Danio rerio: one gene and its partner. The protein of the gene in region 2 interacts with the protein of the main gene of each other region in a pairwise test. Links are inferred from orthologs where the notes say so. Each region holds a gene or a part of one and is shown on either strand. Other genes may lie near its edges. The genes, in order: sav1 and hax1.

Region 1 (3,833 bases), on a different chromosome or scaffold from region 2:
CACATACATACACACGACTAATGAATCAGGACTCTACCAGACTTATGGGTTGCAAGAAACAGTCAATGAAAAACAATGAATATTATATTTTATTACTATATTATATTTTATCATATTATATATAATATTTGATTAATAAAAAAGGTTTTAGTTTGATGGTTTTTCTTTTATTTATGATGTAATTACATAAAAAAAGTATATACTTAATTTTTCCTAGGCCAGCCGAGAGACATAGGGCGTACTCAAACTATGCCATCCAAACCATGCTCAGGCCTGTTTCCCGGATTGTTTGAGAAGTGCGAGTGCTCTGAATCGGGCTCAGGCGCAGTTCAGTTGGCCGAACCAGGCCCAGTTGGAAGAGGTGTTCGATTCACTTGGGCTCGCCTGAGCCCGAAACTGAAGACGAGACGTTTCTTTAAAGGGACAGTTGGATATGGGTTTATTAATCATTCATACTGTTCAATGAATGCAAACTGTCGTAGATTATTAAAAACGCAAACCCCTCACTGCACGACAGCTGCACCATCAGCAAACCTCCTAATTCCTGTAGCTTGAGGACATTATGATTGTTTATGAGCGTCAAAAATGGCTGATCTCTTCAGTGAAATATTTCACTGAGGGTCGCTGCATCCCAAACGACTAAAACGATATAAAGAAATGTCCACCGTGCTGAGCGAGAACGCTTCTCACAGCGCATCATCAATGACGTAAGCGTGCTTAGTCGCGAATGCAATGAGAGTGCAGGCCGTTGAGGGAGACAGGAGGATGGACAAGCGTGCTTCAGCCTGGTTCGATGCGAGTAGTGCGAGTACGCCCATAGTCCCACCAGCCTGTCTTGGGTCTTCCCTGAGGCCTCCTTGAACCTTTGAACATTAGATACGATAGCAAATCATTCCAATTTTGTAAAGGTTTCGAGCCGCTTTCTAGTTACAGTTTTCTTGTTGGACGCTAGAAGTATTTTTAATAAATACTTGTCTTATATCATTAAAGTTGGCTGCTACAGGTATATTTTCCAAGTAAATTGTTGTAAAAGAGATGTCCATTCCATCACTAAAATATTTTGTATTACCTAACTACAAGTCACACGTTTGCACTACATTGAAAATGATTGGAAGCTGCGCTAGAGATGCACTAAGACAGCATATTTTCCATAAGAATAAATTAATATTTCAATAAAATTATTTATTTACAGAAGATGCAAGAAATTGACTGTTTAGAATATTATTTACAGGATCTACAGGTGTATTTTATTTAGAAGAGATGCAGCTTATTTTTGACTTACAATATGAAAAACATCGAAAACGATTAATTTTGTTTCCAAACATTATTTATTTTCCCTTTTTATAGGAAAAAAGTGACTTGGTTTTAGACAATGTGTGTTTTCATTCAGTTGTTTATTGTTAATGTTCAATAAATAATCATAGATTGTAGATAATGTGTGTTTCCTTCAATTATTTTAAAATCAAGTAATGCACTCTTCATTTAACAATCTGTCACTTGTGATATGTGAGCTTATTTACTAAACAAAACCTCTCAGTGAATTATGTGGCAAAAAATGAAATAAAATAAAATCAAACAAAAAAATTGTTCATTAATCAGAATAGAGTTAAAATTTTAATCTAGTTTTTGATTTTAGGCCAAATCGCCCAGCCCTACTTGACATCTCCAAAATATGTGAAAATGGTTTGCTAAGTCTTCTCCACATCTCCTTCAGCACTTTCCCAGATCCTTCTTCTGAGTTTGCATTCATGCAAACTGGGGATTTATAAAGTATGTAGTCAGATTCCTCCAGCAAAAAACTCACCACATACCAGAGCTGAAAAAAGTGGCATGAACAGAGCAGATATTTAAGCAACATAATTACTAGAATTGAACTAAAATAATCGACATGTCTATTTCTTAAACACTGTTAAATATACTGTTGTCAACTAAAATTCATTTATTCATTCATAAATATATTTTCAGCTTAGTTCCTTTATTAATCTGGGGTCGCCACAGCGGAACGAACCTACAACTTATTCATCACATTTTTACGCAGTAGATGCCCTTCCAGCTGCAATCCATCACTGGGAAAGTCAACTAAAATGGACTCAAAATATTGTCATTGAATTGAAATAAACCAGACAAAAAGAAAAAGCTAATTTAACACAATCACTTCTGTAACAGTATATAAACAATATAATTGTAGTTAAATATAAACCGTGTTAAAAATATGTCTAGAAGAGTAGAGCTGTAAAAAGTAAAAGTGCTGATATACATAGTTGCCCACCTGTTACCACACGTTAGCTGAATTCCATATTAATGCAACAAGCTGCAATGTTGTTCAGCAACCATAAACAATCTACAGTTACATCATGCCTACACTGATCACATGTCACTTCCTAACTAAAACACTACAAATTAAAACTAAGGCCTTTACAATAAATGACTGGATGGTACATTATGTCAGATTAAAGTCCATCTAAAATCGAAATGAGTTTTTTGGGTGTTAGTATTAATATTTTAGTTTTAAGGTCATCTATAAGCTAGTATGCGTTTAAAACAAAGACAGCATCTTTTTTAGAAGATATAAGCATTCAAAACATGCATGTTCTCAGTTCCGAACAATTTTCCATGACAGAGCACTTTAGCTTCTCATCAGACTGTCTGACCAATCGAAATGCTCTTTAGTATCTCAAATGGCACATAGTGCTACTAAACAAGGGACGAACAATTTAAGCAATGTAAATAAGATTTCAGAGACACAAGAACATAACTGGATCATATACACTAGTCATTTAAATTATTCTTTTTTTTTTTTAGGTAAATTACCTAGACAAGACCAGCATTACTATTATAAGCTTCCATCCACATATGGAATATCGCAAAAAAAAAAAGAGTAGGATAAACTTATCCATAGATAAACTACAATGTAATCACATTTGCCAAATAAATTCCAGAATACACAGCAAAAAAAAAAGTCTTGTGATTTTGTATTAACAGATCACGAAACAAAAATAGGTATGATGGGGTAGCACTAACGGGCCAATCTATCACATTGTTAAATATTTAAACTGTTGTTTTGGTCATTCCTTATTCTCCATGGCACAGTGGTTTGATATTATTACTTGCCAAAATTTTCTTAAGCCCCTGTGCTCCCAAAGAGCAATCTCACACCACCAAAAGCCACCACACGCTAAATGAGTTTCCACAATGAGAATCATTGTGTTAGAGTTAAAATCGCATCACACGCTAAACAAAACTGCATTTCAAGGCACTTGAGGGGACCTTTAATGTTGGACAATCTGTGTGAGAGTGTGAAACTTACTTTAGTGGAGCTCTGGCGTACACCTGTAGCCAGTCTGGAATCTCAGCTGAGTGATACGGGTTTGCTGGTACCAGTACAGGCGGGTTGCGTTCTGGTGGGCGGGGCTGGTAGGTGACGGGTGGGGGAGGGGGCTGGTCATAACGAGGCACACTAAAACAAAGAGAGTTGGCATATTTTAAAAACAAAATGGCATCAAACAGTCTAGATAATCAGTAATATATTATCATAATGAACATACACATATCATATACAGTTCAAGTCAAAATTGTTTGTCCTCCTGTGATTTTTTTTTCCCCTTTTTTAAAAAATATTTCCCGAATTATGTTTAACAGAGCAAGGAAGTTTTCACAGTATTTCCTTTAACATTTTTTTCTTATTTGTTTTATTTCAGCTAGAATAAAAGCATATAAAAGTGTATATATTTTTTAAGGTCAATATTTATAGTCCCCTTTAAGCAATATATTTTTTCTATTATCCACAGAACAAACCATTATTATACAATGATTTGCCTAATTACCCTAACTAG
Region 2 (3,861 bases):
TATTTATTTATTTTTCCAGCTAGAATAAAAGCAGTTTGAATTTTATTTATAGTATTTTACGGTCAATATTATTATCCCCCTTAATCAATTTTTTTTTTTTCAGTATGTCTACAGAACAAACCATCGTTATACAGTGCCTTGCCTAATTACCCTAACCTGCCTAGGTAACCTAGTTAAGCCTCTAAATGTCACTTTAAGCTGTATAGAAGGGTAGAAATATCTAGTAAAACATTGTTTACTGTCATCATGGCAAAGATAAAATAAATCAGTTATAAGAAATGAGTTATTAAAACTAATATGATTAGATATGTGTTGAAAAAAATTGTTTGAGTTAAACAGAAAAAATATAAAGGGGTCTAATTAGTCAGCCTTCAACTGTGTGTACATTCTCTAACTGATTGTGGTTCACAATTGCACTGGTTTAAGTGATGATACATTTCTAGCATCATCTGTTCTGCTTCTTCCCATCAGGTTTCCCGTCAATAGAAGCTCCACCTCCACAGGAAGGAGTTGAGAAAGGCAGGAGTGGGACAGGAAGTGGGAATCCCATCAGAGATTTCATGTTGAAGTCTCCTGACCGCTCACCTAAAGATCCAGAGCACAGAGAGGATTCTCCACCAAATCATCCTCACAGGAGGCCTTTCTCAAAGGTAAATCGAGGTCTGCCAGTGAATATCTGCAGTCTCTCCATTCCAGCGTCTCATCTTATTGGCTTTCTTTCATTTCAGTTCAACGATATTTGGAAAGATGGACTGTTAAAACCAAAGGGGGAAGACAAAAGGGAGGATGGAGGTAATGCATCTTGTGCAGGTTTTCACAACAATTATACAAGTCTGAGAGCAGATATAGTTCTCAAAACCATTCAGTAGGTTTCCATTTAATTTTTTTGTTACAGATAAAGCTGATGGATTTGCTAATTATTGATTCAATTAAGCTAATTTGACAACCTTTTTCTTTAGCGGGGGATCTCTGTATATACTAAATATTCTAGATTACCTACTTAACGAAGGATAGCGCGCTACTTAACAAAGGGTAAATGCAAATTTAATTTAATAATGGGAAAATATAACATCTAATTTATGTTTATTTATATTGTATTATAAATAGTTTTTAAATATCATAAGATGATGAATGTCACATAAAAACGTAAATTAGCAGAAATTAATTTACAAACACTCTAATTTACATAAGGTAATCATCTGAGCATTGCTGTTATCATCTTACAGATGTTCCTTCAACAAATCTTTTGTTTTCTTGTTCTTGCCTCAGATCTGGACTCACAGGTGTCTTCAGGTGGACTGGACCAGATCTTGAAAGATCCAGCACCTTCACAGCCAAAAACAAGGTCATTTTTTAAGTCTGTCAGCGTCACCAAGGTGGTCCGACCGGATGGAGTGAGTGGATCATTTTGTCTTCAATACTATTTCTAAATACAATCATTGTAGAATTATATTTCAGGCTGTAAATATGCTCTGCATTTATGCTTATAATAACGGAGAGTGTGTGTGTCTCTGTCTGTCTGTCTGTCTGTCTGTGTAGACTGTAGAAGAACGGCGAACAGTCAGAGATGGAGAAGGTAATGAAGAGACGACCGTGACCATCTCAGAAAGGCCAGGTGGGCAAGATAGGCCAGTCCTGGATCAGTCTGGTCCTTTAATGCCAGGTTAGTGGTTTAATAATCTTTTTTTCTGTAAATAAAGATTATTAAGCTATAGATTATGTTTATTGTACTTTACTTAAACTCTATCCAATGTATTTATTTAATGTATGTTTATATAAAAATTTCATAAAAACAAAAAACAAAAAATGAATAGTTATAATTAGATGTGCAATGTTTGCATACATGTTTGCATACAGTTTATTATTTGAGTGTGGATTATTAAAATTATATATATATATATATATATATATATATATATATATATACAACAGTTCTGTCTGGTTCTCAAATCTGATTGGCTGATAGCCGTGCGATATTCTGCAATATCAGAACTCCTACAGCCTCTTTACCCTTTGTGTATTACTCCGCCCACATACAGCCAGCAAAAAGCAGACACTACAGATCTAAAGTTTAAAAGATGCACGCTCAACTGTTTAACTGTCAGCTTATGATTTGAATCCAGAAGAAAGTAGTTCCTCATACAAAAGGGTTTTTGAGACTCTCCTTGTTTGATTTTGTTTTTATATACACAATTATGCTGTCAAACTGTTGTATAAACGCAATATCACACTCGTAGCAGTGTGATATGGCTGTATATCGGCAGTGGTGTGGGCACAACGCACGGCTCCCACCAGTGCCGATATACAGCCATATCGCACTGCTACTCGTGTGATATTGCTCATATATATATATATATATATAATATATATATTTAAAAATATTTATTGTAATTGTAAAAATATTGTAATTTAAAGAAAGACAGAGACACAATTTAAGTAAACTGCTACTTAATAAAAAACAAGCAATTTTATGATTAGTTTTCTCCACCGCTGTTCCCCAAAAAGCTAAGATCTCAAAACCAAGGATCTTACTAAAAGTTATCTATGCGTATCATCCCCCCTTAGCATTAATGTTAATAAAATGTCTTCACATTTACATAAAGTCTTTTGCATTTACAGTATTTGTACATTAGACATATTTATTTGTAATCATTCAGTGATGTGTTTTCTGCATCTTTCAGGTGGTTCTGACATGCAGGATGATTTCTCCATGTTTTCCAAGTTCTTCAGAGGCTTTCGAAGTTAAAAGAGTTTTGGAACCAAAACCGAAGGACAATCTCTTTCCCGGCAAACCCACCACGATCACAATATTTCATTCTTAAGTATATTTGTGGAGATCCACAACATCAACATTGATCAAATATCACACAATGAACCTCAAAACTCTGCTGACTTTTTCATTTTTTATATAATTTCCATTAAAGATATGCAAATAATTATATAGACCGAACTTTGGGTTAGTTGGGTTTTGTTCAGAAATGACACTTTAATATATTTAAACATTTTATTTCAATAGGTGTAAATAAAAAAACTAAATGAAGTCTGCCTTACGGTCTCATGAATTGTTTTCAGGAACATCTAAATGTGGAAGCTGGCATATTTTCTGTATCTGAAGAGCACTAATTTAAGCAAACAGCTCTTTTTATTGGATAAATAGAGCAAACGCAGTACATTGTATTTTTAAGTGATTCTAAATGTAAGAGAGCTGCTCGTTTTGACAGCTGCTTAGCATTCTGAGGTCAAGTCAGTAGTAGCAGCTCATCAAAATTTAGTAAAGTAAGCTAGCAACTAAAACTAAGGGAAAACAATAATTATAGGATGGATTTGGAGTTGGATTCTTGTGTTTCTCATGTATTCTTGTAAACTGACAGTCTGAAATCTGCATTCACTTATATAGTAGGTACACGGTCAACTTAAAAATGGAGGAAGAAAGATCATTTAAAGGGATAGTTCGCCAAAAAAAAAAAAATACTCACAATTTATTCACTTTCAATCTGTTCCAAACCTTTATAATTTTCTTCACAAGAGAAGATATTTTGAAGAAAGCTGAAACCACTGACTACCAAAGTAGATAAAAACAAATATCATGCAATTCAGTGGTTACAGGTTTGCTGTATTCTTTAAAATGTTTTCTTTTAAACGGGTTTTTAACTAGTGAAGAGCAAGTAAATAATAGCCCCTTTCACACAGTGATACCGGTAAATATCTGGAAAATTTCCGGAACGACTTTACCGGTATATTCAAAAAAGCGCTGTTCACACAGGCGAGGATGTTACGGAAATTTTCCGGAAAAGAGCATTCACACATCCATTCCAAAATACCGGTAAATTCTGACATCATTCACCACAAATGAGCTTTAAA

What was found.
Region 1: the proteins of hax1 (region 2) and sav1 interact in binary tests that used the Homo sapiens proteins (3 or more experiments, as listed by UniProt). The link is inferred for Danio rerio from reciprocal best matches to the Homo sapiens genes HAX1 and SAV1.

What each region holds. Positions count from the first base shown.
Region 1 is NC_133188.1:40,254,291-40,258,123, forward strand, and holds part of sav1 (protein salvador homolog 1), read right to left. Parts: intron 3,458-3,833; coding exon 3,308-3,457; intron 1-3,307. UniProt on the Homo sapiens protein: Regulator of STK3/MST2 and STK4/MST1 in the Hippo signaling pathway which plays a pivotal role in organ size control and tumor suppression by restricting proliferation and promoting apoptosis.
Region 2 is NC_133194.1:8,858,372-8,862,232, forward strand, and holds the end of hax1 (HCLS1-associated protein X-1), read left to right. Parts: intron 1-471; coding exon 472-650; intron 651-728; coding exon 729-792; intron 793-1,269; coding exon 1,270-1,394; intron 1,395-1,539; coding exon 1,540-1,663; intron 1,664-2,681; coding exon 2,682-2,746; 3' UTR 2,747-3,040; downstream 3,041-3,861. UniProt on the Homo sapiens protein: Recruits the Arp2/3 complex to the cell cortex and regulates reorganization of the cortical actin cytoskeleton via its interaction with KCNC3 and the Arp2/3 complex. Slows down the rate of inactivation of KCNC3 channels. Promotes GNA13-mediated cell migration.